Linked DNA regions of Anolis sagrei. The protein of the gene in region 2 interacts with the protein of the main gene of each other region in a biochemical or structural test. Links are inferred from orthologs where the notes say so. Each region holds a gene or a part of one and is shown on either strand. Other genes may lie near its edges.

Evidence for each region.
Region 1: the proteins of PEX19 (region 2) and PEX13 form a complex in vitro, tested with the Homo sapiens proteins (2 studies listed by BioGRID and IntAct, with this or other methods). The link is inferred for Anolis sagrei from reciprocal best matches to the Homo sapiens genes PEX19 and PEX13.
Region 3: the proteins of PEX19 (region 2) and ABCD1 form a complex in vitro, tested with the Homo sapiens proteins (3 studies listed by BioGRID and IntAct, with this or other methods). The link is inferred for Anolis sagrei from reciprocal best matches to the Homo sapiens genes PEX19 and ABCD1.
Region 4: the proteins of PEX19 (region 2) and ABCD2 form a complex in vitro, tested with the Homo sapiens proteins (3 studies listed by BioGRID and IntAct, with this or other methods). The link is inferred for Anolis sagrei from reciprocal best matches to the Homo sapiens genes PEX19 and ABCD2.

What each region holds. Positions count from the first base shown.
Region 1 is NC_090021.1:12,577,579-12,585,406, forward strand, and holds the start of PEX13 (peroxisome biogenesis factor 13), read right to left. Parts: upstream 3,451-7,828; 5' UTR 3,403-3,450; coding exon 3,350-3,402; intron 1-3,349. Other genes in the region: tRNA pseudouridine synthase Pus10, read left to right, coding at 7,306-7,431. UniProt on the Homo sapiens protein: Component of the PEX13-PEX14 docking complex, a translocon channel that specifically mediates the import of peroxisomal cargo proteins bound to PEX5 receptor.
Region 2 is NC_090032.1:7,362,256-7,369,875, reverse strand, and holds the start of PEX19 (peroxisomal biogenesis factor 19), read right to left. Parts: upstream 3,554-7,620; 5' UTR 3,426-3,553; coding exon 3,383-3,425; intron 2,084-3,382; coding exon 1,968-2,083; intron 512-1,967; coding exon 346-511; intron 1-345. UniProt on the Homo sapiens protein: Necessary for early peroxisomal biogenesis. Acts both as a cytosolic chaperone and as an import receptor for peroxisomal membrane proteins (PMPs).
Region 3 is NC_090022.1:177,914,533-177,923,064, reverse strand, and holds the start of ABCD1 (ATP-binding cassette sub-family D member 1), read right to left. Parts: upstream 3,213-8,532; 5' UTR 2,999-3,212; coding exon 2,063-2,998; intron 1-2,062. UniProt on the Homo sapiens protein: ATP-dependent transporter of the ATP-binding cassette (ABC) family involved in the transport of very long chain fatty acid (VLCFA)-CoA from the cytosol to the peroxisome lumen.
Region 4 is NC_090025.1:81,653,738-81,661,576, forward strand, and holds the start of ABCD2 (ATP-binding cassette sub-family D member 2), read right to left. Parts: upstream 3,273-7,839; 5' UTR 2,991-3,272; coding exon 1,998-2,990; intron 1-1,997.

The DNA.
Region 1 (7,828 bases), on a different chromosome or scaffold from region 2:
TCATTGAATCTTTCCATCTTTGAATAATCCTGATTAAATTGGGTATCAATATCAAATAGCAAAAAATGTACAGGAAGGGTCAAGTGCTTCTTGTGTTTCCTGCAACTGAGCCTGGCTACCACAAAGGACTTTTACATTCAGATGTTTTGAGAACTATGGAGACATTTAAGTCCTACTGAATTCCTCCTCCTCCTGCGCAAACCGATGCCAAGGCTGTGCTGTGTATGCAAGTAGGTTATGCAATTTTAATTATCTGGAGAACATAAAGAGGGAGCAACATGTTTACCACCCTGGAGCTCCTGCCCACCACACCTACTTGGATGGGGAAAGAGGGAGCAGGAGGATTAGCCAATGAAGGCAAGCAACATCTTGCTTTCTCTGAGGAAAACTAGTACAACCGGAGGGCAAGGATGTATCCCCTGGTGCAAAATTTGAGACAACAGGAGTAACACGAATTTATGGCGCTGTGGACGGTTGAAAACTATAGGGGGAAACAGTGCCCGCCATTGATACCTGTGGGAGATTATTACAAATACATCGCACTAGAATATATATCAGTGTTGTCTGGGAATGCATTTTAATTATAATTCTTACCTGTCTGTGCTTGTGGCTCGAGGCAGGTTACAGAATAATTAAAACACATAAATATTGTAAAAATACTACAAATACACATATTAAAATGTATTTCTATAAAATACATGTTAAAATACACAAAACAGGGATTAAACAAAGGACACACATTTAAAATTCATGCTTAAAGATTGGCTGGGTAGGTTTGCCGGAAGATATTACATATATTAGATATATGTGTTTATATTACATAGAATATATATGTAATGCTATTATGATTATTATGATTTTGTATACACACACACACACACACATGTCAGGACTGACTTGAGAAACTGCAAGTTGCTTCTGGTGTGAGACAATTGGCTGTCTGCAAGAATGCTGCCCAGGGGATACGCAGATGTTTTGATGTTTTGACCATCCTATGGGAGCCTTCTCTCATGTCCCCGCATGGGGAACTAGAGCTGAGACGAGAACTCATCCCGTTCCCCGGATTCGAATCGCCAGCCTGTTGGTCGGCAGTCCTGCCAGCACAAGGAGTTTAACTCATTGCACGACTGGGCACTTCTACCATTATTGTATAAATAGTATTATATATATTATGCTTATATATTTATGTGTTATATTACATGTTATATATTGTATATTATATGTATTTTATATTAGATATAATATATGTATAATATACATATATGTAAGTAGGACTAAGATTATCATTATTATATGTATAGTATTAAGTATATAATGTTTATGTAATACTATAAAAACAAAATGCTTTGAATGCAGTTTTCCTGCTTCTTGGCAAGGGGTTGGACTAGATGGCTCACGAGATCTCATGATTAGCATGATTATGTGTATAGTATTATAAATATATATGGAATATTACATATATGTCATATTTAGATATGACATATATTATGTTTATTCTATTTATGTGTTATATTATATATATATATTATTTTAGATATATATGTTTTACATTACATATAAGATTATCATGATTATATATATATATATATATGAGCCCCCGGCGGTGCGGCGGGTTAAACTGCTGAGCCATTGAACTTCCTGACCGAAAAGTTGACTGTTTGAATCCAGGGAGTGGGGTGAGCTCCTGCTATTAGCCTCTGCTTCTGTCAACCTAGCAGTTTGAAAACATGTAAATGTGAATAGATCAATAAGTACTGCTTCGGTGGGAAGGTAATGCCGCTCCATGCAGTCATGCCGGCCACATGACCTAGGAGATGTCTACGGACAACGCTGGCTCTTTGGCTTAGAAATGGAGATGAGCACCACACCCCAGAGTTGGACACGACTAGACTCAATGTCAGGGGAAATCTTATTATATATATAAAAGGACTGAGCTGTTCAGCAGTGTAACTCTCTGCCCCGGAGTGTGGTGGAGGCTCCTTCCTTGGAAGCTTTTAAACAGAGGCTGGATGGCCATCTGTCAGGGGTGATTTGAATGCAATATTCCTGCTTCTTGGCAGAATGGGGGTTGGACTGGATGGCCCATGAGGTCTCTTCCAACTCTATGATTCTATATTGATCGATGTTTTACAGTATATACAATATTATATTAGATATATGTGTTTTATATTGCATACATGTGTAATACTTACATTATATTATATATAGTTAGGACTAATCTTACCATGATGAGATCTATAGCATTATATATATTATAAGACATATAGAGAAATTCACATTATAGTAAACAGCATATATATACATAAATACACAATCTATGATACACAAAATTATATATTATATGTATATATAAAATTGTGATTACATATATTAGATATATGTATTTTATGTGACACAGAATATATGTTATCTATATTATATTTATATATTATATACATAATTCTATTTACAGATAATATTAGATATATCTGTTATATATAATATTTATTATATATAAATATAATTCTATTTACAGATATTATATTAGATACATGTGTTTTATATGACATAGAATATGTTATATATATATTTATATATTATATACATAATTATATTTACATATATTATTAGATATATGTGTTATATATAATATTAATATATTATCTGTAAATATAATTGTATTAGATATATGTGTTTATATTGCATACATGTGTAATAAATACATTATATGTAATTAGGATTAAGCTTATCGTGACGAGATGTATAACATTATTTATAAGACATATATATTATATTATAATTATATAGAGAATTATAGAGAAATTCACATTATAGTAAACAGTATATATATATAAACACACACATATATGATACACAAAATTATATATTATATGTATATATAAAACTGATTACATATATTATATTAGATATATGTATTTTATATGATATAGAATATATGTTATACATATTATATTTATATATTATATACATAATTCACAAAATTATATATATGTCTATATAAAACTGTGATTATATATATATTATATTAGATATATGTATTTTATATGACATAAGAATATGTTATATATATTATATTTACATATTATATACATAATTCTATTTACATATATTAGATATATGTGTTATATATAATATTAATACATTATATGTAAATATAATAGATATATGTATTTTATATGACATATAATATATATATTATATTTATATATTATATACATAATTATATTTACAGATAATATTAGATATGTGTTATATATAATATTAATGTATTATATGTAAATATAATTCTATTTACACACAATATTATATGAGATATATGCGTTTATAGGCCATATCCCATTCTACCTACATTCTGCGCGGGTTCTCCCAGGGCTTCAGCGGAGGAGGAGGGCTGCCCGCCATCTTGCTTCTTCTCCGCGCAGCCGCAGAGCAACGCCGCCTGCCTGCCGAGCAGAGCGTCGAGAGATCGATCCATCGCCCCGCCCACCCCTTTTAAACCAGCGCTGGCTCGTCTTGCACGTCTGTCGATCGGACGCCTCTGTCTGCAGCTGCTCAGGTCTGCCTTGGACCAAAGAGATAAACAAAACTCCAAATACATAATCACACATGGCTTCCGGTTCCCAATTGCACTCTACACTGCAGAATGAATGAATGACGTTCATTTGAAGTGCCCCGGCTCCATACAACTCCTGGGAGCTGTAGTTTTGCAAGGGTGTTCTCTGCCCATAGGGATAGTGCCTCATGAAACTATTACTTCATAGAATCATAGAATCAAAGAGTTGGAAGAGACCTCCTGGGCCATCCAGTCCAACCCCATTCTGCCAAGAAGCAGGAATATTACATTCAAATCACCCCTGACAGATGGCCATCCAGCCTCTGTTTAAAAGCTTCCAAAGAAGGAGCCTCCACCACACTCCGGGGCAGAGAGTTCCACTGCTGAACGGCTCTCACAGTCAGGAAGTTCTTCCTCATGTTCAGATGGAATCTCCTCTCTTATCGTTTGAAGCCATTGTAGTCCATCTGAGAGTTCTTGGAGAACGGGAGAAGTTCCAGCAGATTGGAGGAGGGCCAATGTGGTCCCAATCTTCAAGAAGGGAAAAAAGGATGACCCAAACAACTACCGTCCGGTCAGCCTCACGTCGATACCGGGCAAGATTCTGGAAAAGATTGTTAAGGAAGCGGTCTGCAAACACTTAGAAACAAATGCAGTCATCGCTAATAGTCAACATGGATTTATCAAAAACAAGTCATGCCAGACTAATCTGATCTCTTTCTTCGATAGAACTACAAGCTGGGTAGATGCGGGGAATGCCGTGGATGTAGCGTACCTGGATTTCAGTAAGGCCTTCGACAAGGTCCCCCATGACCTTCTGGCAAGGAAACTAGTCCAATGTGGGCTAGGCAAAACTACGGTGAGGTGGATCTGTAATTGGTTAAGTGGACGAACACAGAGAGTGCTCACTAATGCTTCCTCTTCATCTTGGAAAGAAGTGACGAGCGGAGTGCCGCAGGGTTCCGTCCTGGGCCCGGTCCTGTTCAACATCTTTATTAATGACTTAGATGAAGGGCTAGAAGGCATGATCATCAAGTTTGCAGACGACACCAAATTGGGAGGGAGAGCCAATAGTCCAGAGGACAGGAGCAGAATTCAAAACGATCTTGACAGATTAGAGATATGGGCCAAAACTAACAAAATGAAGTTCAACAGTGACAAATGCAAGATACTCCACTTTGGCAGAAAAAATGAAATGCAAAGATACAGAATGGGTGACGCCTGGCTCGAGGGCAGAACGTGTGAAAAAGATCTTGGAGTCCTTGTGGACAACAAGTTAAACATGAGCCAACAATGTGATGTGGCGGCAAAAAAAGCCAATGGGATTTTGGCCTGCATCAATAGGAGCATAGTGTCTAGATCTAAGGAAGTAATGCTACCCCTCTATTCTGCTTTGGTTAGACCACATCTGGAATATTGTGTCCAATTCTGGGCACCACAATTCAAGAGAGATATTGACAAGCTGGAATGTGTCCAGAGGAGGGCGACTAAAATGATCAAGGGTCTGGAGAACAAGCCCTATGAGGAGCGGCTTAAGGAGCTGGACATGTTTAGCCTGAGGAAGAGAAGGCTGAGAAGAGATATGATAGCCATGTGTAAATATGTGAGAGGAAGCCACAGGGAGGAGGGAGCAAGCTTGTTTTCTGCTTCCTTGGAGACTAGGACGCGGAACAATGGCTTCAAACTACAAGAGAGGAGATTCCATCTGAACATTAGGAAGAACTTCCTGACTGTGAGAGCCGTTCAGCAGTGGAACTCTCTGCCCCGGAGTGTGGTGGAGGCTCCTTCTTTGGAAGTTTTTAAGCAGAGGCTGGATGGCCATTTGTCAGGGGTGATTTGAATGCAATATTCCTGTTTCTTGGCAAGGGGTTGGACTGGATGGCCCATGAGGTCTCTTCCAACTCTTTGATTCTATGATTCTATCCTCAGCTGCTGCAAGATCATGCAGATGGACTACAAGCAGAGGCATAACACCATTGCTCAGATGATCCACTTGAACTTGTGCCACAAAGACCATCTGCCTGTGACAAAGAACTGGTGGGACCACAGGCCTGAAAAAGTTACAGAAAATGAACACATCAAACTACTCTGGGACTTCCAAATTCAGATTGACAGAGTTTTGAAACACATTACTCCTGACCTCATGCCCGTGTTAAAAATCCAAGTATGGATTGTCGATGTTGCAATCCCAGGCGACAGCAGGGAAAGCTGACACGATATGAGGATTTAAAGATCGAACTGCAAAGACTCTGGCACAAACTAGTAAAGGTGGTCCCAGTGGTGATTGGCACACTGGGTGCAGTGCCTAAAGACCTTGGCCTGCACTTAAACACAATCAGCACTGACAAAATTACCATCTGCCAGCTGCAGAAGGCCTGGGATCTGCATGCATTATTCACCGATACATCACACAGTCCTAAACATTTGGGAAGTGTCCAATGTGTGATCCAATACAAAAGCCAGCATGGTGATCCTGTTTGCTGTGGACTCATCTTGTCGTGTTTCAAATAATAATAATAATAATAATAATAATAATAATAATAATAATTCGACTTGTGATTTTGTGATACGAAATCCAGCATATATATCTCGTTTGCTGTGACGTACTGTGCTTGTTTCAGTAAAATAATAATAATAATAATAATAATAATAATAATAATGGGTTGTTGTAGGTTTTCCGGGCTATATGGCCATGTTCTAGAGGCATTTTCTCCTGACATTTCGCCTGCATCTATGGCAAGCATCCTCAGAGGTAGTGAGGTCTGTTGGAAGTAGGAAAATGGGTTTATTTATCTGTGGAAAGACCAGGGTGGGACAAAGGACTCTTGTCTGCTGGAGCTAGGTGTGAATGTTTCAACTGACCACCTTGATTAGCATTTAATGGCTTGGAAGTGCCTGGGGGAATCTTTCTTTGAGAGGTGATTTGATGTGCCTGATTGTTTACTCTCTATTGTTTTGCTGTTGTAATTTTTGAGTTTTTTAATACTGGTAGCCAGATTTTGTTCATTTTCATGGTTTCTTCCTTTCTGTTGAAATTGTCCAATAATAATAATAATATTAGGTTCTTGTGGGTTTTTGTACTTGTGGGTTTTGTAATAATATTTTGTGTCAATAATAATAATAATTGGGGACTTGCATATAAAGCTTTCATTATGTAAGGAGAGAAGACATTATTTTTTTTCTCAGAATAAAAAGGACCAGCTGGTCCTGGCTTGTGTGCTGCAAATGGGAACCGGAAATGTGGGTTGAAGCTCATAGTGACCGCATCCCTTGGTTTCTGTTAGCCTGAAGTGTTGCTTCTAGGAAGCAGGGTCTTGTTGCCCCTTCTTACCGGAAGTGAGGGCGGAAGGGAATGTTCTCAGGACGGACCTGGTGTGCATTAGCTCAAAAGGTCCCCCATAGTCATTTTTTGTAAGTGAAGCAGGTGGATGAGCTGGAGACTGATCCCTTCATTTACTTTGAAGTAAGGCATCCAAATTGAAGGGAAAGATATTCCAGCTAAACATCAGGAGCAGTTCAGCAGTGGAATAGGCTGCTGCCTCAAAGTATGCTGGAGTCTCCTCCTCTGGGAGGCCATCTGTTGGGAGGGCTTTGGTGGTGTCTTCCTGCCTGGCAGAATAATTTTGTTGGACTGGGTGGCATTGTGTATGTGTATCTCTTCTGACTCATGTGATCCACAGATTCATTTCCTTCAAGCTTTGGCAATGAAACTAAAAAGCATTTTTCCCCTTTTCGAACAGACTTTGACCGTGATGATTGCATTGACAGAAAAGGACAGGCCTGTGGCTCAGAAGCTGCTGGATTTCGGGGCGTGCGCACGCTGTGTTCTTAGGTTCTGCCGGGTCGGACTGCAGGCCCCGTACAGGCCTCCACATCAGGTAGAGCCAGTTGTGCCCATACCTTGGGAAGTCGGACTTGGCCGTGGTAATCCATGGTTTGGTTACATTCCAAATAGACTACTGCAACGCGCTTTACGTGGGTCTGCCTTTGAAGATTGTTCAGAAGCTATTTATTTTATTTATTTATCGTGTCATCAGCAACCATACCTTTGTATTACATTTCTAACAGAACAAAACAAACAAACAGAGAAGAAAGCACAAATTTTGCAAACTTGGTAGTTGATTAAATGTCCTTTGACCAGTATCTGGCCACTTGGAGTGCTTCTGGTGTTGCCGCAAGAAGGTCCTCCATTGTGCATGTGGCAGGGCTCAGGGTGCATTGCAGCAGGTGGTCAGTGGTTTGCTCTTCTCCTCACTCGCATGTCGTGGATTCCAC
Region 2 (7,620 bases):
CCAAGGGCAATATTCACACATGCCTCAAGCAGACAAGAGTTCTTTCTCCCACCCTGGACATCATTCCACAGATATACAAATCCCACTTGCCCAGTTTCCAACAAGCCTCACAACCTCTGAGGATGCCTGCCATGGATGTGGGTGAAATGTCAGGAGAGAATGGGACATGGCCAGACAGCCCGGAAAACTCCAATTCCAATTCCATACAGAGAGATGTTTTATGAAACCAAGGATAGGTCAGGAATGCTCCCTGAATGGCAGAGATTGGCCTCTCACAAACAAAGCTTTGCATCAGCAACCAAAAATTTCAAAACATAGGCTTCCCACCCTCGGTCAGCGACTCACCGACTCGGCCCGCTGCCTCCGAGAGCTTCTGGAACTGTTCGACCAAGTGGGGCTCCTCCTCAGCCAACTCCTTCATGGCCTTCTCAAATTCGGCGGTGGCCTGAGAAGCAAGCTCACTGTCAAAGAGGTCCTGGAAGAACTTCTCCTGGGAGGCAAAGAGGGAATCCTGAGAAGAGAAGAAGGAGGAAGAAGCCAGCTCAGTTAAATGATTCTATTACAGTGTTTCTCAACCTTTCTAATGCTGCGACCCCTTAATACAGGTCCGCATGTTGTGATGACCCCCAACCATAACATTATTTGCACTGCTATTTCATAACTGTAGTTTTGCTCCTGTTAGGAATCGTCTGGACCAAACTTGGCACAAATATTCAATATGTCCAAATGTGATGGGAAAAATTAGACGTTGACATTTGGGAGTTGTAGTCGCTGGGTTTATTGCTCACCTACAATCAAAGAGCATTCTGAACTCCACCAGCGATGAATTGAGCCAAACTTGGCACACAGAACTATCACAAAATATTGGAAGGGTTTGGTGGGCACTGACATTGAGTTTTGGAGTTGTAGTTCACCTACTTCCAGAGAGCACTGTGGACTCAAACAATGATGGATCTGGACCGAACTTGGCATGAATATTCAATATGCCCAAATGTGAACACTGCTGGGGTATGAGGAAAATAAACCTTGATATTTGGGAGTTGTAGTTGCTGGGATTTATAGTTCACCTACAATCCAAGAGCATTCTGAATTCCACAAGTGATGGAATTGAACCAATCCTGGAATACAGAACTCCCATGACCAATAGGAAATACTGGAATAGTTTGGTGGACATTGGCCTTGAGTTTTGGATTTGTTGTTCACCTTCGTCCAGAGAGCACTTTGGACTCAAACAATGATGGATCTGGCCCAAACTTGGCATGACCAAATGTGAACACTGGTGGAGTTTGGGAAAATTAGACCTTGACATTTGGGAGTTGTCATTGCTGGGATTTATAGTTCGCCTACAATCAAAGAGCATTTTGAACCCTACTAACGATAGAATTTGGCCAAACTTCCCACACAGAACCCCCATGCCTTGAAGGGACTTGCTGGAGAGAACCTTGCTCCAGCCTCGTACGCTCTCCCTCGCCTGTACATCCGCACTACGCTGCCATGCGATGAGCATGTCTGCTCTCCCCTTCCTGCTTGGAGCCTCAGAAACAGCCCTCGAGTGAGAGGTCAGCCAATTGCAGTGGAGGAGGGCTTTTGGTGGATTTGCCAAAGGAAGAGAAGGACAGGCGGGGAGATCTTCAACCTTCTCTGCCAAAGGGGTTCCTATGACCATCAAAAATATATGTTTTTTGACCGTCTTTGGCGACCCCTCTGAAACCCCCTTGTGACCCCCCTTACTTGAATAAATAAAATGAAAATAAAAATAAAATAAATATATGTTTTCTGATGGTCTTTGGCAACCCCTGTGACACCCCCTCATGACCCTCCCATCAGAGATCCCAATTACATTTTCCTGAATTCTACTCTCTTGCTGAATGAGGGATTCATTCCAGAAGAAAACACTTTCCCAAGCTCTCTTTGCTACCACAATGTCCCCCCAACTCAGCACTGAAAGTTTATCTAACTTTCCATACTTTTGCAGCATCTCCCGGTGATTTCTCAGCGCTGCTGCTGCTGTTGTCCCCAACGGTGGCAGCGGAGGAGGGAGGCACAGCAGTGGGCTTGGTCTTATCAAAGTCATCAAGGGCACCTGCATCGGGGAGGAGCGGAAAAAAAGTGCATACTGAATATTGTTCTCCAAGAACTTCCTGTCTGTAAGAGCTGTTTAATAGTGGAACTCTCTGCCTCTGAGTCTGGTGGAAGCTCCTTCCTTGGAGGCCTTTAAACAGACACTGGATGGCCATCTGTCAGGAGGGCTTTGATTGTGCTTTTTCTGTATGGCAGGGGATTGGACTAGATGCCCCATGAGTTCTCTTCCAACTCTATTATTCTATGATTAGGAATAATTCCCTGACTCTAAGAAGAGCTGTTTAACAGTGGAACTCTGCCTCAGAGTCTGGTATAAGCTCCTTCGTTGGAGGACTTCAAACAGAGGCTGGGTGACCATCTGTCAGGAGGGCTTTGATTGTGCTTTTCCTGTATGGCAGAGGATTGAACTAGACGGTCCATGGGGTCTCTTCCAACTCTATTATTCTATGATTAGGAAGACCTTCTTGACTGTAAGATGAACTGTTTAACAGTGGAACTCTCTGCCTCAGAGTCTGGTATACGCTCCTTCATTGTAGGCCTTTAAAAGGAGGCTGGATGGCCATCTGTCAGGAGGGTTTTGATTGTGCTTTTCCTGCCAGGCAGGGGGCTGGACTAGATGGCCTAGGTGACCTATTCCAACTCTATGATTCTGGGAAGAACTTCCTGACTGTTCAGCAGTGGAACTCCCTGCCTTGGAGTGTGGCGTAAGCTTTTAAACAGAGGCTGGCCATCTGTCAGGGGGGTAGGGTGTTATTGAGCTTTTCCTGCATGTCAAGGGGCTGGACTAGATGGCCTCGGTGGTCTCTTCTAACTCTATGATTAGTAAGAACCTCCAGACTGTAAGAAGAGCTGTTCAGCAGTGGAATTCTCTGCTTCGAAGTCTGGTGGAAGCTTTCAAACAGAGGTTGGATGGCCATCTGTCAGGGGAACTAGATGGCCTAGGTGCTCTCTTCAAATCTATTATTCTATGATTAGGAAGACCTTCTTGACTGTAAGGAGAACTGTTTAACAGCGGAACTCTCTGCCTCAGAGTCTGGTATAAGCTCCTTCGTTGGAGGCCTTTAAACAGAGGCTGGATGGCCATCTGTCAGGAGGGCTTTGATTGTCCTTTTCCTGCCTGGCAGGGGGTTGGACTAGATAGCCTCGGTGGTCTCTTCCAACTCTATGATTAGGAAGAACTTCCTGACTGTAAGAAGAGCTGTTCAGCAGTGGAACTCTCCGCCTGGGAGTCTGGTCTCCTAAGGCTCCTGTTCCAAACTCCCCTCCAAAGCCCCAACTGGGGCATTCCCGCCTTACTTACTTTCAAGCAACTCCTCCAGCTCTGGGTCCGTCGACGTCGCCATTTCCGGGAAGCCGGGAAACAGAGGAAGGAAAGGAGGAAGCAAGGCCACTCACTCGGTCGGCAGAAGCCTCCGAAGGCCACCGGGCTCGCCTAGGCCCAAGGAAGCGCCTCTGGACTACGACTCCCAGCAGCCCAGGGCGGCGGCGTGCCTTGGACGCGACCGCTGAGGCATTCTGGGAGTCGTAGTTCTCGAGTCGCCGCCATCTTGCCCCTCACTGACAAGCCTTGTCAACCATTGACAAGCCTTGCACTTTGGAAATCTTGTGACATAATTTGGATATTATTATATTATATTATATTATATTACTCTATTACATTATAGGAGTCTGCAATTTAGACTCTATTACATATATCTATTATTTTATATATAATAATATATTAGTTTATAATATATATAAACTAATATATTATAATATATAAAATAATATATATAATATATTATATAGTTTATAATATATTATAAACTATTATATATATAATATATTAGTTTATATTATATATTATTATTGCATATTATTTTATATTACTCTATTATAGTATGTGAGTCTATAGTATAGACACTGCATGATTATATATATTGATTACATTATATTATATACAAGATCATAATATAATATATAAAATATATGATTTTATATTATTACTGTAGACTCAAATAATACAGCAATATAATATAATATATATTATATAATATATTATAATATATTTATTTATTATTTATTTCAAAGTTTTATATACCGAGCTTCTCACCTCATAAGAGGGACTCAGCCCGGTTTCCAACCATAAAAACACATACAATCGGTAAAATATCAAAATACACATTACAATAAAACATTAAAAGGCACATATATTTAAAACTACCGTGGTCAGTCGTCGTACTAAAATTGAATATAGACCGTCTTCCATCCAGATCATTGTCTCATTCTTCAAAAGCCTGTCTCCATAACCACGACTTCACCTGTTTCCTGAATGTCAGGATTGTTGGGGCGGTTCTAACCTCTGGCGGGAGAGATTTCCAGAGCCGCGGGGCCACCACCGAGAAGGCCCTGTCCCTCATCCCCACCAGCTGCGCCTGTGAGGCTGGTGGGACCGAGAGCAGGGCCCCTCCAGACGATCTTAGTAATCTTGATGGTTCATAGGGGAGAATACGTTCGGAGAGGTAAACCGGGCCGGAGTCATTTAGGGCTTTATAGGTTAACACCAGCACTTTGAATTGTGCTCGGAAGCGAATTGGCAGCCAGTGGAGCTGGTGTAACAGCGGAGTGGTGTGCTCCCTGTACCCAACACCCGTTAGTAGTCTGGCTGCCAAGCGCTGGACTTGCTGCAGCTTCCGGGCAGTCTTCAGAGGCAACCCCACGTAGAGAGCGTTGCAGTAGTCTAAACGGGATGTAACCAAAGCGTGGACTACTGTGGCCAAGTCAGCCTTCCCAAGGTACGGGCACTGCTGGCGCACAAGTTTTAGTTGTGCAAAAGCTCCCCTGACCACCGCCGAGACCTGGGGTTCCAGGCTCAGCGAAGAGGATATATATAGGATATATCACCCTATTATATTATATGTGTCTAATAATATATATTAAATAAAGAATTACATTATATATATTATGTTATATTACTCTATTATATATAATACAGTATATATTATTATTGTATTATATTGTATTATATTATATTAATGTAATCAATATATAATAGTTTAGATAATGCTGTAGACTCATATAGAGTAATATAAAATATAATATAAATAATATATTGTATTACTCTATTATATATAAAATAATAAATATATAATATAATGTAGAGTCTATACTGTAGACTCATAATATAATAGAGTAATATAATAATTTAATATATATTATTGTATATTATATAATAATTAATAGCGACAAAGTTGAAGTACTTTGGCCACATCATGAGGAGACGGGAAAGCCTAGAGAAGACAATGATGCTGGGGACAGTGGAAGGCAAAAGGAAGAGGGGCCGACCAAGGGCAAGATGGATGGATGGCATCCTTGAAGTGACTGGACTGACCTTGAAGGAGCTGGGGGTGGGGGCGGCCGACAGGGAGCTCTGGCGTGGGCTGGCCCATGAGGTCACGAAGAGTCGGAAATGACTGAACGAATGAACAACAACAATTACTCTATTATATATATTATAGTGTAATCAGTACAGTATATTATATAATATACTGTACTGATTACTGTCTTTACTATTTTAATATGTAATGATTTTGCACTTGTTGTTCTTTATATGATTGTATTTTATATATGCTGTAAACCGACCTGAGTCCTTCGTCGAGGTGAGAAGGCCGGTATAGAAAATTTCTAAATAAATAAATAAATAAATAAATAAATGTAATAGTGTAGGTAATATCAAACAAAATACTAATATATTATTTATTTAATATATAAAATAATAATAAAGAATATATAAAATAACAATAAATAATGGAACTGTATTATATATAAAATAATAAATATATAATATAATGTGCTTCATTGACTATTCTAAAGCCTTTGACTGTGTGGATCATAATAAATTGTGGCAAGTTCTGGGTGGGATGGGCATCCCAAGCCCCCTTCCCTCTCTCCTGAGGAATCTGTACAAGGACCAAGGAGCCACAGTCAGAACTGACCACGGAACAACAGACTGGTTCAAGATTGGGAAAGGCGTCCGGCAAGGCTGCATCCTCTCACCCAACCTTTTTAGCTTGTATGCAGAACACATCATGAGAGGATGTGCGGGGCTGGATGAATGCAAAGCTGGGGTGAAAATTGCTGGAAGAAACATTAACAACCTCAGATATGCAGATGACACCACTCTGATGGCCGAAAGCGAGGAGGAGCTGAGGAGCCTTCTAATCAAGGTGAAAGAAGAAAGCGCAAAAGCCGGGTTGCAGCTAAACGTAAAAAAAACCAAGATTATGGCAACAAGAATGATTGACAACTGGAAAATAGAGGGAGAAACCGTGGAGGCCGTGACAGACTTTATATTTCTAGGTGCAAAGATTACTGCAGATGCAGACTGTGGCCAGGAAATCAGAAGACGCTTACTTCTTGGGAGGAGAGCAATGTCCAGTCTCGATAAAATAGTGAAGAGTAGAGACATCAGACTGGCAACAAAGATCTGCCTAGTCAAAGCCATGGTATTCCCTGTAGTAACCTACGGATGTGAGAGCTGGACCTTCGGGAAGGCTGAGCGAAGGAATATCGATGCTTTTGAGCTGTGGTGCTGGAGGAAAGTGCTGAGAGTGCCTTGGACTGCGAGAAGATCCAACCAGTCCATCCTCCAGGAAATAAAGCCCGACTGCTCACTGGAGGGAAAGATACTAGAGACAAAGTTGAAGTACTTTGGCCACATCATGAGGAGACGGGAAAGCCTAGAGAAGACAATGATGCTGGGGAAAGTGGAAGGCAAAAGGAAGAGGGGCCAACCAAGGGCAAGATGGATGGATGGCATCCTTGAAGTGACTGGACTGACCTTGAGGGAGCTGGGGGTGGTAACGGCCGACAGGGAGCTCTGGCGTGGGCTGGTCCATGAGGTCACGAAGAGTCGGAGACGACTGAACGAATGAACAACAACAGTGTCTATATTGTAAACTCATAATATAATAGAGCAATATAATACAATACATTATAATAATATATTATATTATTTCTGTTTATCCCAGATTATCTGGAAATGTGGAGTCATACAATCCAGTTTAAAGAGCGCATTATTCGCCCATACATCATCTAGTCCAATACAAAAGCCAGCAGAGTGATCTTACTTGCTGTGTACTAATCTTGTTGTGTATCAAACAACAATAACAATAACAATGATGATGATGATGGCAGTCCATTCATTCCTTAATGGAAGGAAGCGAGAGAGTGCAGGGAGTCTCCCATTGACTGTCCTTTGCCGCCCCCAAGTGGCCGATCCGCCCAATTGCAGCCTGGAAGCCCCGCCCCTTGCTTGGCGAGTCCCCGGTTGCCAAGGCGGCGGCGCCATACCCAAGTGGATGGCGCCTGCGAGGGGATAAACCCAGGAGTGTCTGCAGAGAGAGCCCTTCCTTCTCAGTCCGAGTGAGTCCTAATTGCCATCTCATAGGAAGAGTCTCCCCTAAAGGCCATCCAGTCCAACCCCTTCTGCCTGGCAGCAAAACACCACCAAAGCCCTCCCGACAGATGGCCATCCAGCCTCTGCTTGAACATCTCCAT
Region 3 (8,532 bases), on a different chromosome or scaffold from region 2:
CCTACACCACTGGAGAAATTACACTGCTTAGCCGGTATTGCACCACCTGACATCCGCCGGGAAGTAGCAGCCAATAGTGAAAGGACCAAGGCAGAGACATCTCCAGCTCATCCCTTGTTTGGGCATCAGCCAGCATGCCAACGACTTAAATCTAGAAATAGTTTTCTAATATCTATAGAGACACTCGCTGGAACACCTCAGCAAGCGAGAGTCCAAAAGTGGCAGGCTCAAACCCAGAACCTCAACCAATGGCTGTTATCAAATGAGAGACTCCCCCCTGGGCACACAGAGGACTGGGTGACTTGGAAGGCGCTGAACAGACTGCGCTCTGGCACCACGAGATGCAGAGCCAACCTTCAGAAATGGGGCTACAAAGTGGAATCCTCAACATGCGAGTGTGGAGAGGAGCAAACCACTGACCACATGCTGCAGTGCAACCTGAGCCCTGCCACATGCACAATGGAGGACCTTCTTGCAGCCACACCAGAAGCACTCCAAGTGGCCAGATACTGGTCAAGGGACATTTCATCAACTACGAAACTAACAAGTTTTGTATTTTGTCTGTTTGTTTGCTTTGTTATGTTAAAAATGTAATATAATCGACTGGTTGCCCTGACACGATAAATAAATAAATAAAAATAGCAGTGGAACTCTCTGCCCCGGAGTGTGGTGGAGGCTCCTTCTTTGGAAGCTTTTAAACAGAGGCTGGATGGCCATCTGTCAGGAGTGCTTTGAATGCAATATTCCGGCAGGGGGTTGGACTGGATGGCCCATGAGGTCTCTTCCAACTCTACGATTCAGGGCCTTTCCACACAGTCGTATAACCCAGAATATCAAGGAGAATAATCCACAATATCTGCTTTGAATTGGGTTTTCCAAATCCACACTGCCATATAACCCAGTTCAGTGTGGACGTTATGCAGCTGTGTCGAAGCTGGGCCTCTTAGGTATGGGAGGATATTGTGAATGCACCAAAATCCTGCCTAGAAAAATTCTGCGCATTTGGATGTGCTGTGAATGTCAGGGTTAACAACACCATGCAACCTGTTGCTGGACAACAAATACTCTGATGAGTAATAGCTGGTCATGGGATGCATTGTCTAACTAGCCCTTTTTCGAAGAACAACTGTTGCACACAAGCCTTTTGGTACAAAGGATCTGGGTATGAGTGTTTCTTCATTTCCTCCACAGTCTTGCTTCTAAGATGAAGCAGAGAACAAAAGACTAATAAACATTAGAGAAAGAGTGGGAGAGAAAGGAAGTGAGAAGTGGAGGGAGGGAAGTGTTATGTACTTCTTGAGCGTGACCTAAAATTGCTTATTATTCTGGCAGCTTGCCCGACGTAGGAGAGCCTCCGGCCTTGAAAGTGCCCCGATGCAGCTGTATTTGCAAGAGAGGGAAGGAAAGTAAAAATTTTATCTGCCTGTCAACAGGAGGACACTCTCTGATATAACAAAACCTTGTTCCTTTGTCCTTCAGAACCAGTGACGGAAAGAACGTAGGCATCCCGATACACTCACAGTTGCTACTCTTCAATCTACTCTGCTCTCTGGGAATGCAAAACTATTTTAAGTGCCACCTTGGTGCCAAACGTGGAAGGCCTCAGGGCTGTTTTGACTGCTCGAGCAGGAATCAAGCGGGAGCAACTGAAACCAAACAGGGTTTCTAGAGGAAAACGGAAAGCTACCAATCCCAAAGCTGGAGTTGACTGAATAGGGACACTTCCCGAACGAGATAAAATCAGGTCAGGGCCTCAGCCTTGCCTGGGTCAAAGTCAATGAAAAAGCATACAAAAGAAGAGAAGTAAACAACGGCACCGGCAGGTTGTCTCTTTTGCAGAGCCAATTTCCTTTCAGCCTGAGCAGGAATTTAAGAAGTTGCCTGCCTTTGTATCATGGCTCACTTCTATAGGAAAGGGAAAACGGCAACTACAGGAAAAAACAGAAACACCCACCACCTTTTCTGAAATTTTCCATAGTTCAATTCCCTCTTTAGGTCTACCACTAGCCTGTCATTTATGAGGGTAACTTGGATTTTCTCGCCAAGTTCCCCACAACATTACCTTGTGCCCCCCATAGAAGGCAATCTCTTCAGAGTTGGCGACCACCCGGGAATGCATGTAGCGCAGCTCCCCTTTCCGGCGAGCCTCCTCAGCCACCAGTTGCCCAAACTTTGGTGAACAGGCGCGCAGCACCTTGGCCGTGATGCCCACCACCAGCCCGGCAATGACCGAAGGCCAAACAGTGTCGGCCCCCTTGGATCTGGCCGAACTGACCAAGGTGTAGGACGTCACGATGAGGTCGAGGACCGGCTTGGTCACGTTGGAGTAGAGGTGGGCCACCGAATTGGCGAAGGCCACCAGATCTTCGGTGAGAGACTGGTCTGGGTTGCGCAGGCGCCCGTCCATGTTGCTGACCCGGTAGTAGGTCTGGCCTTGGAAGTACAGCTTATAGGCATGGTCCACCAAGCGCCCACGGAAAGCCAGACTCAGCTGCCCCTCCAGGTACCGGATGGCGCTGTTGACGAAGGTGGCCGGGAGGGCAATGAGCAGCCACTGCAAGAGCTGCCAGGCAAAGTCGTTGGGGTTCTTGCGGACGATGCAGCGGGCCAGTCGCCCATCTAGTTGGGCCACGTAGACTGAGAGGAAGGTACGGCTGGCGAGAGCGGCCGAGTGCAAGGCCAGGAGCCCTGTCTGCCGGCACAGTGGCCCTGGAAACAGCAGGCGCAGGAGACGCAGAAGGCGCAGGAAGAAGACCCTGTTGACCCCGGGTGGCGATGCCGCAGCTGCCTCACCCGGCATTTCCCACTTGGTTGGTGGCCCATTGGCACTGGGCCTGCTGTTTGAGTTTGGCCGGAGCTCAGCGGTGGCCCACTGTCTCCTGAGGATGGGATACAACTTCTTGGCACCATATGCGGCCACCAGCAGTGCCACGGCCGCTCTCTTTGCCGTCACCCCTTGGGTCAGCCGTGATGCCACCTTGGCAGTGGCTAGGGGCATGTTGCCACCAAGGTGGGCCCAAGGCCCCTTGCTGCTGGCCCCCTCTCCCCTCCTCCTCCTCCTCCACCTCTTCCTCTGCCTCCTCCTCCAGCTCAGCCTAGTGCTCTCTGCCTGGCTGTGGCAACACTGGCTTCTCAGCCAGGCTCCGCTCTCATCCCATAATGACCCACCCTCCAACTGACACTCTGGGAGGGGACAGGGAAAGAGCCACCCTCCTCTAGATCATAGACAAACCCTGAGGCCACGCCTAGACAAGACGTAGCAGGAAGGAGAAAAAAAACAACAGAGGCCTGGTCGTTTCTCCAAGCAGCCACTAGATGGCGCAGCGTAGAGATCTCTGCACAAACCAAGGTTGTACAGAGAGAGGCTTTTTCTCTGTGCTCCAGCCTGGGATCATCTTTTTGAGCCCAACCCTAATGTTATATCCCTTAGGATTAAATGGGACATAGTCCCAGCTAGTCAGTATGCTCAGGAGTTTGCAGTAAAGCTAGATAATCTCCACTGTTTTGTTGGTTTGGATTGATCTGGTGCATCCAATGGGATTTTGGCCTGCATCAACAGGAGAATAGTGTCTAGATCAGTGTTTCTCAACCTGGGGGTTAGGACCCCTGAGGGGGTCGCGAAGGGGTGTTGGAGGGGTCACCAAAGACCATCAGAAAACACAATATTTTCTGATGGTCATGGGGATTCCATGTGGGAGGTTTGAGCCAATTCTATCGTTGGTGGAGTTCAGATTGTTATTTGATTGTAGTGAACTATAAATCCCAGCAACTACAATTCCCAAAAGTCAAGGTCTATTTTCCCCAGACTCCACCAGTGTTCACATTTGCGCATATTGAGTATATGTGCCAAGTTTGGTCCAGATCCACCACTGCGTGAGTCCACAGTGCTCGCTGAATATAGGTGAACTACAACTCCCAAACTCAAGGTCAATGCCCACCAAACCCTTCCAGTGTTTTCCATTGGTCATGGCAGTTCTGTGCGGCAAATTAGGTTAAAAATAATCGCTGGTGGAGTTCAGAATGCTCTTTGATTATAGGTGAACTATAAATCCCAGCAACTACAACTTCCAAAAGTCAAGGTCTATTTTCCCCAGACTCCACCAGTGTTCACATTTGCGCATATTGAGTATATGTGCCAAATTTGGTCCAGATCCACCATTGCGTGAGTCCACAGTGCTCGCTGAATATAGGTGAACTACAACTCCCAAACTCAAGGTCAATGCCCACCAAACCCTTCCAGTGTTTTCCGTTGGTCATGGCAGTTCTGTGCAGCAAATTAGGTTCAAAATCATCGCTGGTGGAGTTCAGAATGCTCTTTGATTATAGGTGAACTATAAATCCCAGCAACTACAACTCCCAAATTACAAAATCAATCCTCCCCCAACCCCACTAGCATTTACATGTGGGTGCATTGGGTATTTGTGCCCAGTTTGGTCCAGTGAATGAAAATACATCTTGCATATCTGATATTTATATTATAATTTATAACAGTAGGAAAATGACTGTTATGAAGTAGCAACAAAAACAATGTTATGGTTGGGAGTCACCATAACATGAGGGACTATATTAAGGGGTCACGGCATTAGGAAGGTTGAGAACCACTGGTCTAGATCTAGGGAAGTCATGCCACCCCTCTATTCCGCTTTGGTTAGACCACACCTGGAATATTGTGTCCAATTCTGGGCACCACAATTGAAGAAAGATATTGACAAGCTGGAATGAGTCCAGAGGAGGGCGACTAAAATGATCAAGGGTCTGGAGAACAAGCCCTATGAGGAGCGGCTTAAAGAGCTGGGCATGTTTAGCCTGAAGAAGAGAAGGCTGAGAGGAGATATGATAGCCATGTATAAATATGTGAGAGGAAGTCACAGGGAGGAGGGAGCAAGCTTGTTTTCTGCTGCCCTGGAGACTAGGATGCGGAACAATGGCTTCAAACTACAAGAAAGGAGATTCCATCTGAACATGAGGAGGAACTTCCTGACTGTGAGAGCTGTTCAGCAGTGGAACTCTCTGCCCCAGAGTGTGGTAGAGGCTCCTTCTTTGGAAGCTTTTAAACAGAGGCTGGATGGCCCTCTGTCAGGGGTGGTTTGAATGCAATATTCCTGCTTCTTGGTCCATGAGGTCTCTTCCAACTCTAGGATTCTATCCATCCATTCCAAGCTCTAATTTTAACATGAAAGGAGTGGTTTTAGTTCCTAATATCAAAATGTTGGGAGTGGGAAAAGGGCTTGCTTGTCAGCAATATTTGGGTGTTCCTTGTCATCTATAACTTCATCACACTACAAACACTTTAATTCCGGTTTCTGCCTCCTGCAGAATTCTGGGGTTTGTAGTATAGGGAGGCTGTTAAAGGCTCCCCCTAAACTACAAACCACAGAATTCTGCAGGAGGCAGAAACCGGAATTAAAGTGGATTCATTCTCTAGTGTGATGAGGTCGCTGGTCAAGAACAGAGTTGTCAACGAATGTATGTTCCTGATGTATGAAATGTATGTATGTGTGGAAGAAAAAGAACCAAGATTTAAATCAGGGGTCCTCAAACTTTTTGAACAGTCGGCCAGGTCACAGTCCCTCAAACGGTTGGAGGGCCAAATTATAATTTGAAAAAAAAAAACATGAATTCCTATGAACACTGCACATATCTTATTTGTAGTGCAAAAACACTTTAAAACAATACAATAATCAAAAGGAAGAGGGCAGATATAATTTCATTTTGGAGGGAATTCCATAGCCAAGGGGCCACCACAGAAAAGGCCCTGTCTCTTGTCTCCACCAAACATGCCTGCGAAGGAGGCGGGACCGAGAGCAGGGCCTCTCCAGACGATCTTAGCACTCTTGATTGTTCATAGGGGAGAATACGTTCGGCTAGTGTGTGTGTGTGTGTGTATATATATCACGAAAACCATTATGCAATGTTGGACATTGCAAATGGTCGGTGCCAAAAGTTCCTCTGTGCTGTTCCTCTAGAGAAAGCTATTGCAGTTTATGGGGTGCTTTAAGAAGATAGCTGCATTATACAGACTCAAAGGTCATAATCCCGGGCAGAGCTGAACTGTGGCCCTTTGGATTCTATGTTCTGCATCAGGGATAGCCAGTTGTGATGTGGGTGTTGTAATCTAAAAATATCTAAAAATACATAGGAGATGTATTTTATGTGACAGGAGGGAACTTTGTGGTTTCCCTGACTTTGTGGCTCCCTTCCGCTGAAACTGGCCATATGCAAGAAAGAAAAGAGGTAGTTCAAGAAGGACCATGAGCAGCAGAAATGGTTGTGCAAAGGTCACAGCTAGAACCACAGAGATTAGACTTAGACTCTGTCCTGCATCTTGTCTGGCTTAGCCCCAAAAGGTGCTTTCTCAATCGGAAGAGGCTAAAGGTTGTCATCCTTCAGACACAGTTCTCAAAAACAGCAGCACCATCCAGAAGCTAACTCTCTCCTTCAAGTGTCAGCCACAGTTTCTTGCTCATCTGGAGATCTCAAACACTGCAAGAAATAAAAGAAAAGGTCCTGGAAAGAATAGGAAATAAGCAAGAGGGACCAGGCTTATTTTCTGCTGCCTGAGAGACTAGGACTCTGAGCAATTGGTTCAAATTACAAGAAAGGAGATTCCACCTGAACTTTCCTGACTGTAAGAGCTGTTCAGCAGTGGAACTCTCTGCCTTGGAGTGTGATGGAAGCTCCTTTCTTGGAAGCTTTTAAACAGAGCCTGGATGGTCATCTGACGGGAGTGCTTTGATTGTGCTATTCCTGCATGGCAGAATGGGGTTCGATTGGATGGCCCATGAGATCTCTTTTAACTCTATGATTTCCAGTTTTACACAAAAGGAGAATGTGTCACTGGAACCCTTCCACCTACTGAAAATATGGATTGATGTTTCTGGGGGATTTTAGGAGGGACAACTCATCCGCATCTAAAATACGGAGGGGTTGATGATCACAAAAAATATCGAGGGGGTTAATATATTTCAACCATCTTTGTATTAGTTAATTTGGAGTGAAGGTGAAAGAGACATATTGTTCCTCTGTGGTAAGCCAGAAGAAATTTCAGCCTGCATTTTTCCAATGCAATGCCCTAACATTCTTTATCTGTGAGGCAAAGGGCACTCCCGGACTCCATGGGTATATCTGAGAACACAGTTATACTTGGATGTGAGGAAACTTATCACTACACTGCACGCTTACATAAGCAAAGGTCAGGATCAAGATGGGGTCTATGAGTCTTGTTACATAAAAGATGTCACAATCTCTTATGCTGTTTTGAAGACTAGGACACAGTAGAGCAATGGATTCAGATTGCAGGAAAGGAAATTCCAGCTGAAATTTAGGAAGAAGTTCCTGATGACAAGAGTCGTTTGGTAGTGAAATATACTGCCTTAGAGGGTGGTGGAATCTCCTTCTCCTTCCTGAAAAGCTCTCCGTTGGCTTTGGCTGTGTATTTCTGCAAAGCAGTGGGTTGGACTGGATGATCTTTGTGGTCTCTTCCAATTCTATGATTCTACTAGCCGTCCCCTGCCACGCGTTGCTGTGGCCCACATGGGGGTTCTGTGTGGAAGGTTTGGCCCAATTCCTATCGTTGGTGGAGTTCAGAATGCTCTGTGATTGTAGGTGAGCTATAAACCCCAGGAACTACAACTCCCAAATGTGAAGATTCAATTTTCCCCAAACTCCACCAGTGTTCACATTTGGGCATATTGAGTATTATTGTAGAGTTTGGTCCAGAACCATCATTGTTTGAGTCCACAGTGCTCTCTGGATGTAGGTGAACTACAACTCCAAAACCAAAGGACACTGCCCACCAAACCCTTCCAGTATTTTCTGTTGGTCATGGGAGAACTGTGTGCCAAGTTTGGTTCAATTCCATCGTTGGTGGGGTTCAGAATGTTCTTTGATTGTAGGTGAGCTATAAAACCCAGGAACTACAACTCCCAAATGTGAAGATCCTATTTTCCCCAAACTCCATCAGTGTTCACATTTGGGCATATTGAGTATTCTTGTAGAGTTTGGTCCAGATCCATCATTGTTTGGGTCCACAGTGATCTCTGGATGTAGGTGAACTACAACTCCAAAACCAAAGGACACTGCCCACAAAACCCTTCCAGTATTTTCTGTTGGTCATGGGAGAACTGTGTGCCAAGTTTGGTTCAATTCCATCGTTGGTGGGGTTCAGAATGTTCTTTGATTGTAGGCGAACTATGAATCCGAGCAACTACAACTCCCAAATAACAAAATCAATTTTTTTAATTAAGAACATACATTGGGTTGTTAGGTGTCTTGTTTCCAAATTTGGTGCCAATTCGTCCAGTGGTTTTTGAGTTCTGTTAATCCCACAAACCAACATTACATTTTTATTTATATAGGTAAGTTTCCCAAGAAAACCTAGCCATAACCAGGATCCAAGAAGCATTCACTTCCAAGCTTGTCAAATGGGTGTAAATCATATAATCTCCCAGATGCTGCTGGACTGCAACTCCCAGCATTCCTCAATATTGACTGAGTTGGCTAGGGCTGGAGCAACACAAGGGATACCAGTCT
Region 4 (7,839 bases), on a different chromosome or scaffold from region 2:
GCTGGTGTTGACCTATAAAGCCCTAAACGGCTCCGGCCCAATTTACCTGTCAGAACGGATTCTCCCCTATGAACCATCAAGGTTATTAAGATCTTCTGGAGGGGCCCTGCTCTCGGTCGCACGACCCTCGCAATCACGTCTGGTGGGGACGAGGGACAGGGCCTTCTCAGTGGTGGCCCTGGAACTCGGCTCTGGAACTCTCTCCCACTGGAGATTAGAACTGCCCCTTCTCTGCTAAGTTTTAGAAAGCTAGTGAAAACTTGGCTCTGGAATTTAGCATTCAATAACTCTTGACCACATGGACAGATGGTGATGAATTGTGATTTCTGATGACTGGCCTTATGTAATTATATGATTGTATTTTAATGTATTAGTGCATTATGTGATGTGATATGTTAAACTATTGTTTATGAATCTTTTGTTGTGAACCGGCCTGAGTCCCTCTGCGGAGGTTGAGAAGACCGGGTTATAAAAGTTCTAAATAAATAAATAAATAAATGTCAAGGGTGGATGAGAGCTAACAAATTGAAATTGAATCCAGACAAGACAGAGGTCCTACTGGTCAGTCGTAAGGCCGAACAGGGCATAGGGTTAAAGCCTGTGTTAGATGGAGTTACACTTCCCCTGAAGATGCAGGTTCGCAGGTTGGGAGTGATCCTGGACTCATCGCTGAGCCTCGAACCCCATGTCTCAGTGGTGTCCAGGAGAGCTTTTACACAATTAAAACTTGTGCACCAGCTGCGCCCGTACCTTGGGAAGCTGGATCTGGCCACGGTGGTCTACGCTCTTGTTACATCCCGAATAGATTACTGCAATGCGCTCTACGTGGGGTTGCCTTTGAAGACTGTTCGGAAACTTCAATTAGTCCAACGGGCGGCAGCCAGATTACTCACTGGAGCGTCATACAGGGAGCATACCACCCCCCTGTTATGTCAGCTCCATTGGCTGCCGATCCAGTTCCGAGCACAATTCAAAGTGCTGGTTTTGACCTACAAAACCCTTTACGGTTCCGGCCCAGCGTACCTGTCCGAACGTATCTCCTTCTACGTCCCACCTCGGAATTTAAAATCTGCTGAGGGGGCCCTGCTCTCGGCCCCACCTTTATCACAAGCGAGACTGGTGGGGACGAGGGACAGGGCCTTCTCGGTGGTGGCCCCTTGCCTGTGGAATGCACTCCCCGGGGAAATTAGGACATCAACATCCCTCCTCTCCTTCAGGAAGAAGCTAAAAACCTGGATGTGGGACCAGGCCTTCAGGTAAGCTGGCAGATGGACAAAGACAACCAAGAATGACCAGAGTAGGAAAGGACAATGACAATGCTAAATGGTTTACGGACTTGGATTTGGTGAACACTGACCACAAGATGTTTTTATTGCTGCTAGTATACTGTCTGATTGTTTTAATTAGTTATAACTATGATATTATGTGGTAAATTTGTGTATTGTATATTGCATTGTATGTTGTAATTGTTAGGCATCTAATTGTGCCTTTTGTAAGCCGCCCTGAGTCCCCCCTAGGGGGTTGAGAAGGGCGGGGTAGAAGCACCCCAAATAAATAAATAAATAAATAAATAAGGGAAACCTATACCCTGACAATAAGGGAAACCTATACCCTGACAAAGGAGCCCCCAGTGGCGCAGTGGGTTAAAGCACTGGGCTGCTGAGCTTGTTGATCGAAAGGTCGCAGGTTCGATTCCGGGGAGCAGCGTGAGTTTCCGCTGTCAGCCCTAGCTTCTGCCAACCTAGCAGTTCGAAAACATGCAAATGTGAGTAGATCAATAGGTACTGCTCCGGCGGGAAGGTAACAGCGCTCCATGCAGTCATGCCGGCCACATGACCTTGGAGGTGTCTACGGACAACGCTGGCTCTTCAGCTTAGAAATGGAGATGAGCACCACACCCCAGAATCAGACATGACTGGACTTAATGTCAGGGGACTACCTTTACCATTACTATACCCTGACAAAGACCTCTGGGCCCGTCCTGACCTCTCCCTTACCTTGTGGCCACGGTAGAAGGCGATCTCTTCCACGTTGGCGATGATGCGGGAGTGGACGTAGCGCAGGTAGCCCTTGCGCTGGGCCTCCTCGGCGACCAGCTTCCCGAAGCGGGGCGAGCAGGCCTTGAGGACCTTGGCGGTGGCGTAGACGACCAGCCCGGCCAGGAGGGTGGGCCCCACGGGGCTGGCCCCTCGGGAGCGGGCAGTCTGGATGAGAGTGTAGGAAGTGAGCACCACGTCCAGGATGGGCTTGGTGAGGTTGGAGTAGAGGTGGGCCACTGACTGGGAGAACATAGCGATGTCTTCGGTGAGGGACTGGTCCGGGTTGGCCAGCCTCCCGTCCATGTTGATGACCTTGTAGTAGGTCTGGTCGGCGAAGTAGGTGCGGTAGGCGTGGGCGACGAGGCGGGTGCGGAAGGCCAGGGCCAGCTGTCCCTCCAGGTAGCGGATGGCGCTGTTGACGAAGGTGGCGGGGACGGCGATGGCCAGCCACTTGAGCAGCTGCCAGGCGAAGCGGCGGGGCTTCTTCTCCACGATGCTCTTGACGATCTTGCCGTCCAGGCCGGCCACGTAGATGGAGAGGAAGGTGCGCGAGACCAGGGCCACCGAGTGCAGGCCCAGCCAGCCGCTCTCCCGGCCCAGCAGCTGCGGGAACAGGATCTGGCGCAGCTCCAGCAGCTGGCGGAAGAACTCCGCGTTGGCCGCCGGGGAGCCGCGAGGGAGCGGCGGCGAGGTGGAAGAGGAAGGCCGCAGCAAGAGCGACGACGCCTCAGGGAGGAGGAAAGCACCGCCCGCGTCTTCCTCCTGCGCCGGGAGAGGATGCTGAGGAAGCGGCGCCGCTCTTCTCCTCTTCCTGAGGCGCCAAAGCAGCCTCAGCCCGTACGCCGCCGCCGCCAAGCAAGCAGCCCGCCTCAGCGCCGCGCTGGACCGGCTCCATGTCTGCCTGGCGGGGGCCTCCCGCGCCGCGCTCATGGTGGCTTCCCTCACCCTCATCCACACCGCTTCTCCCTCAGCCCCGCTCCCGCTCTGCCGCCGCCATCGCCACCTCGCGCCATGCCCCGCGCGCCGCCACAATAATCTACCTCGCGCTCGCCCGCTTTCTCTCCCTCGCTCGCTCTCTATCTTCTCAAGCCCCGCCCCTCCCGCCCGCTCATTGGCTGCGTCGGGCCCTTGGGGGAACCTTCGCCTCGCGACGCCGCCGTTGCTAAACCCTCTTCTCCAAGGCAAACCTGCGCGATTGGAATGGATGCTGCTGCTGCTGCTAGAGTCCAGCTGGCTCGTGCCGGGGCTGCGCGCGCAGCTTGTGGGCGCGTGCACCTGCTCCTGACCTCGCTATTGCTGGGTTGTTGTAGATTTTTTCAGGCTATATGGCCATGTGCTAGAGCAGGGGGTCCACAAACTTTTTAAACAGAGGGCCAGGTCACAGTCCCTCAAACTGTTAGACGGTTGGACACAGCATATTATTTTAAAACACAGAAATGCTGGACCACTCCAACAACCACCATGTCAGACTACACAGAGAAGCCATTGAAATCCACAAGCATGTGGACAATTTCAACAGAAAGGAAGAGACCATGAAAGTGAACAAAATCTGGCTACCAGTATTAAAAAACTCTAAAATTACAACAGCAAAACAACAGAGAGGAAACAACCAGGCACATCTTAACACCTCCCAGCAAGAGATTTTCCCAGGCTCAGGCAGGCCTTCAAATGCTAATGAAGGTGATCAGTTGAAACATTCACACCTAGCTCCAGCAGGGAAGAGCTCTTTGCCCCACCCCAGCCATTCCACAGATATATAAACCCATTGTCCTAATTCCAACAGACCTCACTACCTCTGAGGATGCTTGCCATAGATGTAGGCGAACCGTCAGGAGAAATGCCTCTAGAACATGGCTCTATAGCCCAAAAAAACCCACAAGAACCTATTGTTAGACGGTTGGATTATAATTAGGAAAAAAAAAACATGAATTCCTATGCGCTCTGCACATACCTGTTCAAGGAGCCCCACTGGCTGCCCTTCATTTTCCGGTCCCAATTCAAGGTGCAGGTGCTTACCTACAAAGCCCTAAACGGTTTGGGACCCGCCTACCTACGTGACCGCATCTCCGTATATGAACCCACACGATCTCTCCGATCTTCTGGAGAGGCCCTGCTCACGATCCATCCTGCGTCACAAGCGTGACTGGTGGGGACGAGGGACAGGGCCTTCTCCGTGGTGGCCCCTGGACTCTGGAACTCTCTCCCCAAAGACATCAGACAAGCCCCAACATTGGCAGTCTTTAGGAAGAGCTTGAAGACGTGGTTGTTCCAGTGTGCCTTCCCAGAATAGGAAACTCCAAGCATTATGTCCCAAATGCACTTTACTAGAGATTTAAGATTGTCTGCACACTGCATCTATCTCCAGAAACCTACCTATTTCACCTGTCATGTCCAGCATTTTAAAATTTTTAATCATTACATTTGGCCCGGCTTTAGTTTTTAAATGGGTCGTGGTGTTATTGTCTAATGTTTATTGCTATTGTCTAATGCAGTGTTTCTCAACCTGGGGGTCGGGACCCCTGAAGGGGTCATGAGGGGGTGTCAGAGGGGTTGCCAAAGACCATCAGAAAACACAGTATTTTCTGTAGGTCATGGGGATTCCATGTGGGAAGTTTGAGCTAATTCTATCGGTGGTGGAGTTCAGAATGTTCTTTGATTGTAATGAACTATAAATCCCAGCAACTACAACTCCCAAATGCCAAGATCTATTTTCCCCAGACTCCACCAGTATCCTTCGGGAGATGCTAGCGGGGTACAAATAAAGTTAATAATTAATAATAATAATAATAATATTCACATTTGGGCATATTGAGTATTTGTGCCAAGTTTGGTCCAGATCCACCATTGCATGAGTCCACAGTGCTCTCTGGATGTAGGTGAACTACAGCTCCCAAACTCAAGGTCAATGCCCATCAAACCGTTCCAGTGTTTTCCATTGGTCATGGGAGCCAAGTTCAAATCCATCGCTGGTGGAGTTCAGAATGCTCTTTGATTATAAGTGAACTATAAATCCCAGCAACTACAACTCCCAAATTACAAAATCAATCCTTGCCCAACCCCACTAGCATTCACATTTGGGTGTATTGGGTATTTGTGCCCAGTTTGGTCCAGTGAATGAAAATGCATCCTGCGTATCAGATATTTACATTATGATTCATAACAGTAGTAAAATGACTGTTATGAAGTAGCAACGAAAGTAATGTTGTGGTTGGGGGTCACACAACATGAGGGACTGTATTAAGGGGTCGCAGCATTAGGAAGGTTGAGAACCACTGTTCTAGAGCAGGGGGTCCACAAACTTTTTAAACAGAGGGCCAGGTCACAGTCCCTCAAACTGTTGGAGAGCCGGATTTATTTACTTATTGTGTCATCAGCAACCATACCATTGTATTACATTTTTAACAGAACAAAACAAACAAACAGATAAAAAAACAGAGATTTTGCAAACTTGGTAGTTGATTAAATGTCCTTTGACCAGTATCTGGTCACTTGGAGTGCCTCTGGTATTGCCGCAAGAAGGTCCTCCATTGTGCATGTGGCAGGGCTCAGGTTGCATTGCAGCAGGTGGTCAGTGGTTTGCTCTTCTCCACACTCGCATGTCGTGGATTCCACTTTGTAGCCCCATTTCTGAAGGTTGGCTCTGCATCTCGTGGTGCCAGAGCGCAGTCTGTTCAGCGCCTTCCAAGTCGCCCAGTCTTCTGCGTACCCAGGGGGGAGTCTCTCATCTGGTATCACCCACGGATTGAGGTGCTGGGTTTGGGCTTGCCACTTTTGGACTCTCGCTTGCTGAGGTGTTCCAGCGAGTGTCTCTGTAGATCTAAGAAAACTATTTCTTGATTTAAGTCATTGACGTGCTGGCTGATACCCAAATAAGGGATGAGCTGGAGATGTCTCTGCCTTGGTCCTTTCGCTATTGGCTGCTACTTCCCGGTGGATGTCAGGTGGTGCAATACCGGCCAAGCAGTGTAATTTCTCCAGTGGTGTAGGGCACAGACACCCTGTGATAATGCGGCATGTCTCATTAAGAACCACATCCACTGTTTTAGTGTGGTGAGATGTGTTCCACACTGGGCATGCGTACTCAGCAGCCGGATTATAATTTGAAGAAGAAAAAACATGAATTCCTATGCATGCTGCACATATCTTATTTGTAGTGTAAAAAAAACACTTAAAACTATACAATAATTAAAATGAGGAACAATGTTAACAAATATAAACTTATTAGTATTTCAATGGGAAATGTGGGCCTGCTTTTGGCTGATGAGATAGGATTGTTGTTATGTACTTTCAAGTTGTGATTAACTTCACAATTCAGCAGCAGATCAGTTGCACAACTTCAGCACTTTCCAGTAGCTTCTTCCTGCACAGTATTTTCAGTTAACTACTCCCACAGCCTGCAGTCACTCTGGAAGCTTTTACAGACACTTGAGCACATGCCCAGCCATTGTCAGTTTTAACATTGTCTTTCCCCCAGTCTAGGTGTCATTACAAACTTACCAGAGCACACAGTTATATCTTGTCTTAGCAGACAGGTTCTTTTAATTACATATAGCCTTCCTTCGATGAACAACATCACAGCACAAGGAGAAATATACACTGTACATGACTTCCTTATATACAATTCTATACAATACATACATAGCAATCTCTGATTGATTCCCAACTCATTAACTTAACTCAGACCCAGGATTACATCATTCACAATCACCTGGACTAGGCCAGAACACATTCCCCAAATGATTCCCTATATACAGTTAATGCATGACTCAGCATTTCCAATAGAATCCCATTAGCAGTGCATGACTCAGCTATATTACATTACAATACATAGTAAAATCTGACAGTTTCAGACTTAGGTTGATCCTCAGCAAGGGCCGGGTAAATGACCTTGGAGGGCTGCATTTGGCCCCCGGGCCTTAGTTTGAGGACCCCTGTTCTAGAGGCATTCTCTCCGGACGTTTCGCTTGCATCTATGGCAAGCATCCTCAGAGGTAGTGAGGTCTGTTGGAACTAGGAAAAAGGGTTTATATATCTGTGGAATGACCAGGGTGGGACAAAGAACTCTTGTCTGTTTGAGCTAGGTGTGAATGTTTCAACTAGCACGGAAGACATACATTTAGATTTCAAGGATTATGCTCCTAAGAATGTGTTTTGAGGACTAGAACATAATAGATCTCGTATCTCTTCCATATAATAATCCACTCCTAAGTTTTTTTCAAAGTTAATTTGGTTCTTCAGTATGATTTCTGGAGAGAACTTAATTCTTTTTATTGCTGTTGTGCCTCCAATACCAGTGGCCCAGGGTTCAAACAGGCACACAATACACTCAAATGCATATTCCAGAGTACACAACTCCATTGCCTCCAGCTTTAGTAAATTTGCATGGCGAAGGACAGTACCAAGCATCAGCAGATAGGTCTGTCATCCAGTAGACTATAAACTCATCTGTTTCCTGAGGGACTCCTAAATTGAATGCCCACACAAGTGCATCTTGTCTGACGGGGATGAGAGACAGGGCCTTCTCGGCAGTGGCCCCTCACCTATGGAACACACTCCCAAATGAGGTAAGATCTGCTCCCTCCCTCCTGGCTTTTAGAAAGAAATTAAAATCATGGTTTTGGGACCAGGCCTTCAGACAGTAGATGTATGTAGAGTTTTGGAGGACATGGACTAGAATGACAATACGACTGGCGAGACTGTTTTTATTATTTAGTAGCCGTCCCCTGCCACGCGTTGCTGTGGCCCACTCTGGTGGTCATGCGGGTTCTGTGTGGGAGGTTTGGCCCAATGGTATTGTTGA